2 linked regions of the Caenorhabditis elegans genome follow. The protein of the gene in region 1 interacts with the protein of each later gene in a pairwise test. Each region holds a gene or a part of one and is shown in the gene's direction. Other genes may lie near its edges.

Region 1 (5,935 bases):
GAAAAAACCTAAAAGATTCCAGATTTTTCAATTTTTTCCGCATAAAAAAATTGAAAAAAACCTAAAGAAACCGGTGGAATTTCGGAGAAAATTGTGTGAAAAAATGTACATTTTGAGCTGAAAAAGGTGTTTTTTTTGTTGAGAAAATTTCAGAAAAATCGAAAAAAATTAAAAATTGAAAGCGAAAATGTTTCGAATTTTCTCCTGAATTTTTTCGAAACTAAAAACAGATAAAAACCCGGAAAACTCTGAAATTTTTTAATTTTCACGATGTTTCCGAGTTTTTCATCAAAAAATCGAAATAAAACCAGAAAAAACAAGAAAATTTCTAATTTTCAGCGTTTTTCCGTAAATTTTCCGAAAAAAAAAACCGGAAAACACAAAAATTTTAGATTTTTCGGTGTGTTTTCCGAAAAAAAAAACAGAATTGCTCATCAATTTTTCCGTTGTTTTTTCCCTACAAAATTCGGGGAAAAAAAACGAAAATTTTGAAAATTTCAGTTTTTTACGAAAAAAAAAATCCGGAAAAAAATACGGATTTTTTTTGTTTGTTTTGCTGTAAAAAAATAGAATAAAAGACTCAGAAACCCCGGAAATTTCAGATTTTCCGGTGTTTTTCAATTTTTCAATTTTTACGAAAAAAAAAATTGAAAAAAAAAACACGAAAATTTCAGATTTATTAAAAAATGTTTTTATTAAAATTAAATTTTATTTTAATTTAATAAAAACCCACACATTTCTGACAAAACTTGAATTTTAAAATTTCTCAAAAAATTACTGGGTTTTTCCCAAAAATTTCCTAATTTTTAGCTTGTCCGTGGAGTACAATTGGTGAACGGACGTCTTGATTTGGTTGCCATGCAGCTTAACACACTGAAACCAACATCAGAAGCTGGAAATAATGACGAAAAGAATATTGTGTGGATCGAGAAGGGTTGGTTTTTACAAAAAAAAACAAAAAGGGAAAAAATCCCATAAAATCCAATTTTTTGTTATTACACATCCGTGGAAATTTTCTCCCAAAAAATTCCACGAATGTGTAATAACTAAAATTTTTTTCAATTTTTAAAGTTTAAATTTAAAATTGAAAAAAAAAGCTCTGAATTTCTTCATATTTTTCTCCGGATCAGAAAAATGACCAAAAAATGTTCCAAAAAATTCAATTTTTACCCTGAATTTCCTCTAAAAAACCCCGATATTTTCCCCTAAAATTCCCCTAAAAAATTAATTTTTCTCCCCAAAATTCCCTCTAAAAACCCCAATTTTTACCCTAAAATTCCCCCAAAAAATCCAATTTTTTCCTTAAAAATCCCTCTAAAAATCCAGTTTTTCCCTTAAAATATTCCTTTTAAAAAACCCAATTTTTTACCTTAAAATTCCCCCAAAAAACCCTAATTTTTACCCTAAAATTCCCCTAAAAAACCCATTTTTTTCCCCAAAATTCCCTCTAAAAACCCCAATTTTTACCCTAAAATTCCCATAAAAAATCCAATTTTTCGCTCAATTTCCCCTGAAAATACCCATTTTTCACATAAAATTCCCTCAAAATTCCCCCCTGTAAACCCCCAAATTTTTACCTTAAAATTCCCCTAAAAATCTCCAAAAAACTCAATTTTTACCCTAAAATTCCCCTAAAAAACACCAATTTTTCCCCTAAAATTCCCTATAAAAAATACAATTTTTACTTTAAAATTCCCCTGAAAATACCCATTTTTCACATAAAATTCCCCCAAAAAACACCAATTTTTTACCTAAAATTCCCTATAAAAAACCCAATTTTTACCCTGAATTTCCTCTAAAAAACCCCGATATTTTCCCCTAAAATTCCCCTAAAAATCCATTTTTCTCCCCAAAATTCCCTCTAAAAACCCCAATTTTTACCCTAAAATTCCCCTAAAAACCCCAATTTTTTCCCAAAAACACCAATTTTCTCTTGCAGGTCTCCGTCTCTACAAGCCAACGCCCTACTATGAGCAAATGGACACTGTGGAGAAGCTCGATATGACCGTTTTTCACAAATTTGTCGCCTTGATGCTCGGATTTGGAGCACCACATGCTCATTGACACGGGCTCTAAATCCTTTTTTTTTCAAAGAAATTTTGATTTTTTTTTCAATTTTTTAATAGGTAGCTACTGTTTTTCATTGTTTTTTTGGTTGTTTTTTTCTCGGATTTTTTTTTGAAATTGTATTGATTTTTTAATGATTTTTTGTGATTTTTTCCTCGAAATTATTGGTTTTTAGCCAATTTTCTACCTAATTTTCCAGTTTTTCCCAGCTTTTCCCCCCGAAAAATGCCCAAAATTTTCAGCCTAAATGTGCGATATCAGCACGGAAGATCAATTGCTAGAATTTGCACGAAAAGGTTTTTTTTTGGATTTTTAAGCTTTTGGCCCCCGTTGAATTTCCGTATTTTCAGCCGCCGAATCAGGAGATCAGACACAGACTTTTGAATTTAAGAAGCACATTGGTTTTTTGATTCGACACTTGAACGTATTCCCACAGCCGTATAATACGTTGGAGACTAGTCGGTGAGGAGATTAGAAAAAAATTGAAGAAAATTGATAAAATTCCAGTTAAAATTCCAGAAATTTGAAAAAATTGCGAAATTTTTATGGAAAAATTCAAAAATTAGAAAATATTGATTTTTCATTTTTTTTTTAAATTAAAAATCCAATTTTAAGCTATTTTTTGGCTGAAAATTTGTGAAATTGTTTTTAAAAAATTCAATTTTATTGAGAAAAAAACCGTATAAAGTCAATTTTTACATATAAAAATCGATTGGAATATGGAAAATTAAAAAAAAACGTGTAATAACAAAAAAACTATTTCGGAAAATTCACAAAATCTATAAAAAATTTGCGAAATTTTGATGGAAAAATTCAAAAATTAGAAAATATTGATTTTTCAGTTTTTTTAAAATTAAAAATCCAATTTTTTTCGATTTTTTCTTGTTAAAAAGTTTAAGAAAACAGCTTTTAAAAAATCGATTGGAATATAGAAAATTTAGAAAAAAAGCTATTTCGGAAAATTCACAAAATCTATAAAAAAGTTCAAAAAATCAGAAAATATTGATTTTTGAACTTTTGAATTTTTTAAGACTAAAAATCCAATTTTTACGCGCTATAGAATTGTTGAAACCTACTAAAAAATTAACCTAAAATTCGAAAAATACTTCTAAAAATTGGATTCTCCGGATTTTTCACAAAATTAATTTAAAATTACAATTTTTTCAAAGCTAAAAACTGGCAATTTTTCGCCCAATTTTTAAAAAGTTTGAATTAAAATTTAAAAAAAAATTCCCCGCAGATGGAAAAATTCAAAAAATTAGAAAATATTAATTTTTTAATTCTTTTTTAAGTTAAAATTTCAATTTTTAAGATATATTTTGGCTGGAAATTTGTGAAATTGTGGCAAAAAATTCAATTTTCTTGAGAAAAAAAACCGATTGAAATTTAAACACACATTAGAAAAAAAAATGATTTCTGAAATTTCGGAAATTCAAAACATTTGGAATTATTGATTTTTCAGTTCTTTATAGTTAAAAGTCGAATTTTTAAGCAAAAAATTGTAAAAACCTTCAAATTTTTGGCTAATTTTTCAACTTTTAATATCAAAAAATATTAATCTCGTTAACGAAAAATCATTTTTTACGTATAAAAAACTGTTTGGAATTTGAAAAATTGCGGAAAAATAATTATTTCTGAAATTTGAATTTTTTTTGTTGAAAAAATTGTCTGCTATTGTTAAAAAATTAGAAAATCTACTAATTTTTCAATTTTTTAGAGTTGAAAATTAAATTTTTCAAAAAATTTCAAAAATTGGGAAAATTTGCTAATAAAATAGTAAAATTAGCGCTCTGAAAATTCCAAAAAAAAAAAATTAATTTAAAATTACAATTTTCGTAGAAATTCAAAGTTTATTCCAAAAAAAAAACACAATAGTTCAGAATTGTACGTTTTTTTTTTAATTTTGACTGAATAAAATCCTAAAAAAAATTATTTTCTCCAACTTTTCTAATCTAAAATTATCAAATTTTCAGGAAATCACTATTTTAATTGAAAAATTCCATTTTTTTTTCTAAAATTATCTTTAAAAAATTGGAAAAAAAAATTTTTCACCAATTTCCTCTGATTTTAATTTAAAAAATTTCAAAAAATTCTATGAAAATGACCCTAAACTACTCTGAAAAATTCGAAAATGTTTTTTTTTTTTTCATATTTTTCACAAAATTAATTTAAAATTACAAATTTCAAGCTAAAAATGCTCGATTGACTCCCAGTTTTCTCAAAAAAGTTTCACAAAAACTCCGATATTTTCCCCTAAAATTCCCCCAAAAAACACCAATTTTTCCCCTAAATTAAAAAAAATTGCGAAATTTTGATGGAAAAATTCAAAAATTAGAAAATATTGATTTTTCAGTTTTTTTAAATTAAACATCCAATTTTAAGCTATATATATTTTTTAAATTCAATTTTATTGAGAAAAAAACCGTATAAAGTCAATTTTTACATATAAAAATCGATTGGAATATGGAAAATTTAGAAAAAAAAAATTTAATTAGGAAAATTTGAAAAAAAATGCGAAATTTTGATGGAAAAATGGAAAAAAATTAGAAAATATTGATTTTCCAATTTTTTAAAATTAAAAATCCAATTTTTTTCGATTTTTTCTTGTTAAAAAGTTTAAAGAGAACAGCTTTTAAAAAATTAAAATTCAAAAAATTGAGAAAAAGTTTTTTTTTTTCAAATAAAATTGTGAAATTAGTTCTAAAAATTTAGAAAAATGTCGAAAGATACCTCTAAAAATTCAATTCTCTGGGATTTAAAAAAAAAAAATTGGAAATTCCCATCTTTTTTTTTAACTCCCAGAAAAAACTAGAAAATTGTCAAAATTTTGAAAATAACCGTTCAAAATTGGCAGAAAATGGCTTGAAAAATTGCAAAAACCTTATTACACATTCGTGGAAATTTTTCCACGAATGTGTAATAACACAATTCTGATGGTTTTTTTTTGTTGAAAAATTGCTTAAAAATTATTACACATTCGTGGAAATTTTTATTAGGGAGAATTTTTTCACGAATGTGTAATAACACAGTTCTGAAGGCTTTTTCTCCAGAAATAGTTTGAAAAATCGAAAAAAAAAACAATTTTCAAAAAATGCGATTTTTTTTTCTTCAATTTTTCAAACTATTTTAAAAAATTAGTTGAAAAAACTAGAAAAGTTGAAATTTTGAGATTTTTGAGCTAAAAATGCTCAATTTTCTCCCAAAATGTCTCAAAATTAAACTGAAATTCCCGGATTTTTCACAAAATTAATTTAAAATTACAATTTTCAAGCTAAAAATGGGCAATTTTCTTCCGAGAAAATTCTAGAAAAATGCCAAAAAACAGCTTTAAACAATTGAAATTTTGAGATTTTTCAAGCTAAAAATGCTCAATTTTCTCCCAAAATTTCTCAAAAATTTCACAAAAAAAATTCAAATTTTTTCCAGAAACACAATCTTCCTATTCGCAATCTCTTCACTGGATTTGCTCGGCGAGCTCGACAATCTCCTGACTCCGGAACGCCGTCAGGCGTATATCGATTGGATTTACGGACTTCAGTTTACAAACGGTACCCCACCCACGCAAAATTTCTAGGAGTTGAACGCATTTTTCTTGTTAAAAATCTTTTTTTCCCCTTTTTCCCGATTTTTTTCCCATTTTTTTTTCACAAATTTCCATAATTTCCCGTTCAAAAATGTCTTCCCACCACCACGCCGCCCCCGCACTCTATTGTGAACCCGTTTCCCGTGACTTTGGACAGCATACTTTTGGCCAACGAGGCTTTGGAGGCCTACTCGAGGACTGGACGACGCCTAGGCCCGATGGAAAGACCCGATGGATTCCACAGTATAATTTGCAGAATTTTTGGAGGTAATCGGACTGAAAAAT
Region 2 (5,494 bases), on another chromosome or scaffold:
AGTTTTCCGGCGATCAGTGGTCGGAAATCGATGCCCATTCTTCCGAAAGATGATGCCATTGCCATTAGTTTTGTCCACACTGCTGACAGATCGACGGCTGATCTGAAATTAAGCACATTTTTTTTAATTTTTAATTTTTAATTGGTGATTTTCTCCGGAATTTCTAAAGTTTTAGTGGATTTTCCAGCCAAGATTTATGGAGAATCTCAGAAATTGGAGAAAATCCTCACTTAACATCCGCCTTTGTGATAAGATCCAACATTTTCTTGACATTCGAAATAACCCATTGTGACAGAATCGAGTTTGGTGGCAGAACTGGCCATGATTCCCATCTCGGATCAGCATTCGGCTGAAAAAAAAGTGAAATAAAATTGTTTTATTATTCTTGGCTATTGTTTTTTGCTCAAAATTTTTTCGATTTGATTCCCTTACATTTTTTCGAACAACTTCGTTTTCCGGAAACACTGCAAGATAAAGCACGAGAGTGTCGTACATACTGGTACGGTAGATCTCGATCGCCTGCACAATCATGTCAACATTTCCCTGAAAAAAACGAAATAAATTGTATTAAATATGTTGTGATTGGCATTTCTCACTGAAATATCTAAAATCTGTTTTTCCAGATAAATATCCCGGTGCTGAAGAACGGCGATTCTCAGCTGATTCGCTGTCAATGAGGGCATCTTTCGAACGTTATTCACAACTTTGATGGATTCTGCAAGATCCAGTGGCCCAGCGAATTTGTTGAAAAGTTCCTCCAAAAGATAAGCACGAGCTTCGACTAGGTGGTCCGCGACTTTCTAGAATTATTTTTTACGTTTTTAACAGGTTTTCCTGGGGATTTCAGACTTTTATCAGCGGATTCCGGTAGAGTTGAGTCTGTTGTTGAAGTTGCAAGCCATAATTGGTCAATGTGTAAGCCAGATCATAGTATCCTGCACGAATGCAAATGTCCATGCGCTAAAATGTTTTAAAATTACAAAGAAAAAAGAAAAGTAGATGTAGAATTACCGAGGGTAGCGTCAAAAGCTCCCAGATCGGATTTGACTTGTCCAGTGCTTTTCTGACAAGATCCTGCTCTTCAGAAAGCTGTTTAGCTTTTGCTCTAAACTCTACAAACGCAGAAGTCAACTCCTCTGCTTGATCCGACAGATTTACAGTTTTATCGCGCATTTCTCCGAACTGAAATTATTTAGGGTTTAGACTTTAAATAGATTTTTTCGTGAAATTACAGTTTTCGAGCAATCGTGAGTGGCTCTTCCAGCGTCTGCATATGTTCCATAATTATTGAATGCTAAATCACTAATCTGGGCGTCAATCGCCTTCAGCTCGCTGGCCAGCAGCACCTTTTGACGTCCTGAACGATTTTTCGATGAATTTTCACATTATTGCAGATTACTTACGCATTTCTTCAAGTCCCATATTGCGAATATCATCTCCATTATGAAATATATAATCAGAATCCATGATTTCCTACAGTAAAGGCAAATCGGCGATAAGAAAGAAATCGCGTTGGCTGCCCGTAAATCCACATGAGAGCCGGAGTGTTTGCGGAGAGTGCGCAGGAAATTACGACACTTTGCACCGTTTAACTTTAAATCCATTTTTTTTCTTTTCCGAGTTGTTCGAGCATTTAAGACGTTTTTTCCAGTTTCCAGCTCAATTTTTATTGAAAAATATTTAGAAAAAATTCAAAATTTAATGTTTTCCCCTTCAAAATCCAATATTAACGAAAAATAAGCTTGCAGGCGGAGAAAATGTCGGACAGCGATATTCCATCTTCAACTCTCTACAAAGATAACGTAGATTGGAAGGATATTACGCCGATCTACCCGAGTAAGGAGGAAGAAGTTGCTGTTAAGATCGCTGTTACGGAAGACTGTAAGAAATTTTGAGATCAAATTAATAATTATTCAAATTTTAATTTTGCAGTCACCGATGCTTTCGCCTACTTCCGTGCAATTCTAATAAAAAACGAGAAGTCGGATCGAGTGATGGCACTTCTCGAGGATTGCATTAGACTTAATCCAGCGAATTACACAGTTTGGCAGTATCGCCGCGTGTGTCTCACCGAGTTGGGATGGGATTTGAAGAAGGAGATGCGGTATCTCAGCGATATTATTCAAGAATCACCGAAAAACTATCAAGTCTGGCATCACCGTCGCTTCATCGTCGAAACGATTGGAGAAAGTGCGGTGAACGATGAGCTTCATTTTTGCTCGGAAGTCATCCGCGACGAGAACAAAAACTATCACGCGTGGCAGCACCGTCAATGGGTTGTACGGACTTTCAAGGTTCCACTGGAGAAAGAGCTCACATTTGCTCTTCACATGCTTCTTCTCGATAATCGCAACAATTCGGCGTATAATTATCGCTATTTTCTGATGACTCTCTACGATAAGACGGAGGATGCGAGCCAGCTTGACATTGAGATCAAGTAAGGAAATATAACAGCGATCAATTTTTTGTTCACGATTAGCGTTTTTAGTGGAGAAACATCTATCTGATGTAGAAAGCGATTCAGAAACTAAAAATCTCCGAAAATTCCAGAATATTCTTCTCAATTTCTGATTTTTAGTGATGAAAACTACCTAAAAATTGAAAACTGTCCAAATATTTGATTAATCAAACATGAAGATAACTTTGAAAGTAAAAATTTTTGGTTGAGGCTGAAGAGTTTGGGTGAGGCTAAGAGTTTGGTTGAGGCTAAGAGTTTGGTTGAGGCTAAGAATTTGGTTGAGGCTAAGCGTTTGGTTGAGGCTAAGAATTTGGTTGAGGCTGAAGAGTTTGGTTGAGGCTAACAAGGAAAGGAAGTCAATCTAGTATCGGACTTTAAATTGAGACGTATGTCATTTGAAAGCTTATGTTTAGACTAGATCACCACAAAAATTTCAGCGGCGGAACTCAACTCTGAACCCCTGAAATCGCCATCTGAAAATTTTTCTCTGCGCCCTCCTAGTTTTCAATACTATTTCGTACTTATTCATTTTACTTATACAAAAAATGATTTTCAATCATTATGAAATGGTTACAAACATGGAAAACAATAAAAAACAACGGTTGATGGCCGAATGGTAAACGCTTGGAATAATAAAATAAAGGTCTCGTGTTCGATTCTTTCAGTGGAAATAATTTTTTTCTTCAACTTTTAAAAACTGCAATCGGGCCCTTTGTAAAAAATTGTAAAAAATTGTAAAAAGGCTCAATTCGAAGAAATATGTAGCTTTTTGCATGCCCGGATACAAAAAAATAGTTTTGGAATTTTTTCAAAAAAAAAAATTTTTGACCAAAAATTTGGTGTCCAATGGATCGAAAAAATTTCAGATTTTTTTCAAAAAAATAAAAATTTCCAAAAAGCTCCCACATTGTTTGTTAGACCCTAAAAACCCCCAAAAACAATTTCTAATCTCTCAGAACCCCTTTTGAGGCCATTTACTTGATATAGAAGTCAGCGAAAAAATGCACTGGAGCATAGATAGATTGACTTCCTTTCCTTGTAAGAGTTTGGTTGAGGCTAAGAGTTTGTTTGAGGCTAAATAGTTGTTGCACATCTTCCATTAAACTTGAACACAAAACCTCTCAATTTTTCTAGCCTCGCCAAGAAGTTCATTGAGAATATTCCGAACAACGAAAGTGCCTGGAACTACCTCGCAGGGCTTCTCATCACAAATGGAGTAACCTCGAACAGTGATGTTGTCAGTTTTGTGGAGGATTTGTATGAGACAACTCCTGAAGAGAAACGGTCACCATTCCTTCTTGCATTTATCGCCGATATGATGCTCGAAAATATTGAAAACCAAAAGTCTGCGGAAGAAAGCGCTGGGCGCGCTAAAAAGGTTTGTAAGTCTAGAAAGTTCATGAGAAATGGGATAACATTGGAGAATTTTTAACTAAAAATTTCCTTTTTTTTAATTAAAAGTGCACATTTTCGCTTTAAATGAATTTGCGCTCTAAACGCCTCAAATTCCCGAAATTTCCAGCTCTACAAGGATCTTCAATCGATCGACCCGGTTCGAGTCAACTACTACCGCCATCAGAGTCTTCTTGCTCAAACGATGCTCATCAAGGCACAGACGAAGGTCACTGCCAAGTAATTCTTTCTGAATTCCACGTTTTTTTTGTATTTATATGTTTTTGTGTAAGTATATCCCAATGATTTCCCACAATTTGCCGTCCTACTTATTTATTTAAAAAATTTTTTTTTAAATTATTATTCAATGATGCTTTTTTTATAGTTTATTCTTAATTTTTATACCTTTTGTCACGTTTTTTAGTTGAAAGGCAAGAGAAAATGGAAATTTCCGAGGCACAGCGGCACTCCGATATCTTTCATGCGCCTTTAAGTTTGGAGTACTGTAGATTTTGAATTTTTTTTCTTGAATTATTGCAAATAATTGAAATATTTCGAAATCAACTGTTTATTCATCATTTCGGCTACCAGTTTTCTTTGTTTCTGAGAGAAATATTAAAAATTTATTCTTCTTTTCCAAATTTAAATTTCGATGATACAAGAACCCCTGACAGAATTTAATTTTTCTCGGGAAAAGCGTTGTTTATTCTTCAAAAAAAATCGATTCTAAATTTCTTAAAAATAAAATTATTAAGATGGAACAACGGGATATGAAAACCGTTTTTCTGCTGGATCGGAGCGCGAAATTCGTGGAAAACTGTAACGAAACGTTCGATGTCACAATTCGAGAAGGCCCAAAACAGAAGAAACTTCAATTCGAAAAAACCATTTGGACGTGGTGCCTTGAGGGAATCTTCGAAATGCACAGAATTCTGAGTGACGTCTATCCACGTGGCACTCTACAGCTTCGATTTGCCCTGGCGGACTTCATGGGAAAGATGTTGGATACGCAGTGGACGGACGGATTTTTGACTCGAGAAGAGCTCGGAGAACTCATTGAGACTGTGAGCCGCCCGAGTGAGGCTAATACTGATATTACACCAATTGGTGGATTGACTATGGCCATTGAAGCGTTGGCTGTGCAGTCGCCTGAACAGAGAAATTATAATTATGATGTACGATATAGTGCAAGTGAGTATTTCCTTTTGAAACATTAATTATTTTATCCAAAATCGTAATTATGATCATCTGGAAATCTTTAAAAAAAAGGTTTTACACTAGTTTTACACGAAATCTATGGTTTTCAAGCCTTTTTTACGTAGAAAAACTATCGAAAAATGATTTAAAAAAATCTTGAAAAATCACTGAAAACCCGCATTTTCCGTTAGAAATCTACCTTATTCTGAAAATTTCCAGACAAACGTACAGCTCAAAACTCGGAAGTAATACGCGTGACACGAGAACTCAGAGGTCTTCCACCACTTCCAACTGTTCAAAACGCCGGAAATTTGATTATGTACACCCGGTTGAATACTCAAGAGGAAATGGAACAATTACAGACGGAGATTGTCGAGTTAGTTGTGTCACGCAACAAAATCGCCGACGCTCCTTCAAATAAAACGTAATATTTTGATTATAAAATCG

What was found. The genes of interacting proteins can lie anywhere in the genome.
Region 2: the proteins of Y48E1B.3 (region 1) and fnta-1 interact in a two-hybrid assay, tested with the Caenorhabditis elegans proteins (one large-scale study listed by BioGRID).

What each region holds. Positions count from the first base shown.
Region 1 is NC_003280.10:13,564,346-13,570,280, reverse strand, and holds the start of Y48E1B.3 (Geranylgeranyl transferase type I subunit beta), read left to right. Parts: upstream 1-2,309; 5' UTR 2,310-2,314; coding exon of another isoform or gene 2,315-2,363; intron 2,364-2,417; coding exon of another isoform or gene 2,418-2,529; intron 2,530-5,493; coding exon of another isoform or gene 5,494-5,615; 5' UTR 5,616-5,741; coding exon 5,742-5,917; intron 5,918-5,935. Other genes in the region: mrpl-37 (Large ribosomal subunit protein mL37), read left to right, coding at 811-934, 1,940-2,064.
Region 2 is NC_003282.8:236,562-242,055, reverse strand, and holds fnta-1 (Protein farnesyltransferase/geranylgeranyltransferase type-1 subunit alpha), read left to right. Parts: upstream 1-1,748; 5' UTR 1,749-1,757; coding exon 1,758-1,881; intron 1,882-1,932; coding exon 1,933-2,437; intron 2,438-3,592; coding exon 3,593-3,836; intron 3,837-3,980; coding exon 3,981-4,094; 3' UTR 4,095-4,465; downstream 4,466-5,494. Other genes in the region: cogc-8 (Conserved oligomeric Golgi complex subunit 8), read right to left, coding at 1-102, 231-349, 433-543, 597-800, 850-960, 1,012-1,182, 1,233-1,357, 1,404-1,467; ints-13 (Protein asunder), read left to right, coding at 4,606-5,041, 5,267-5,471.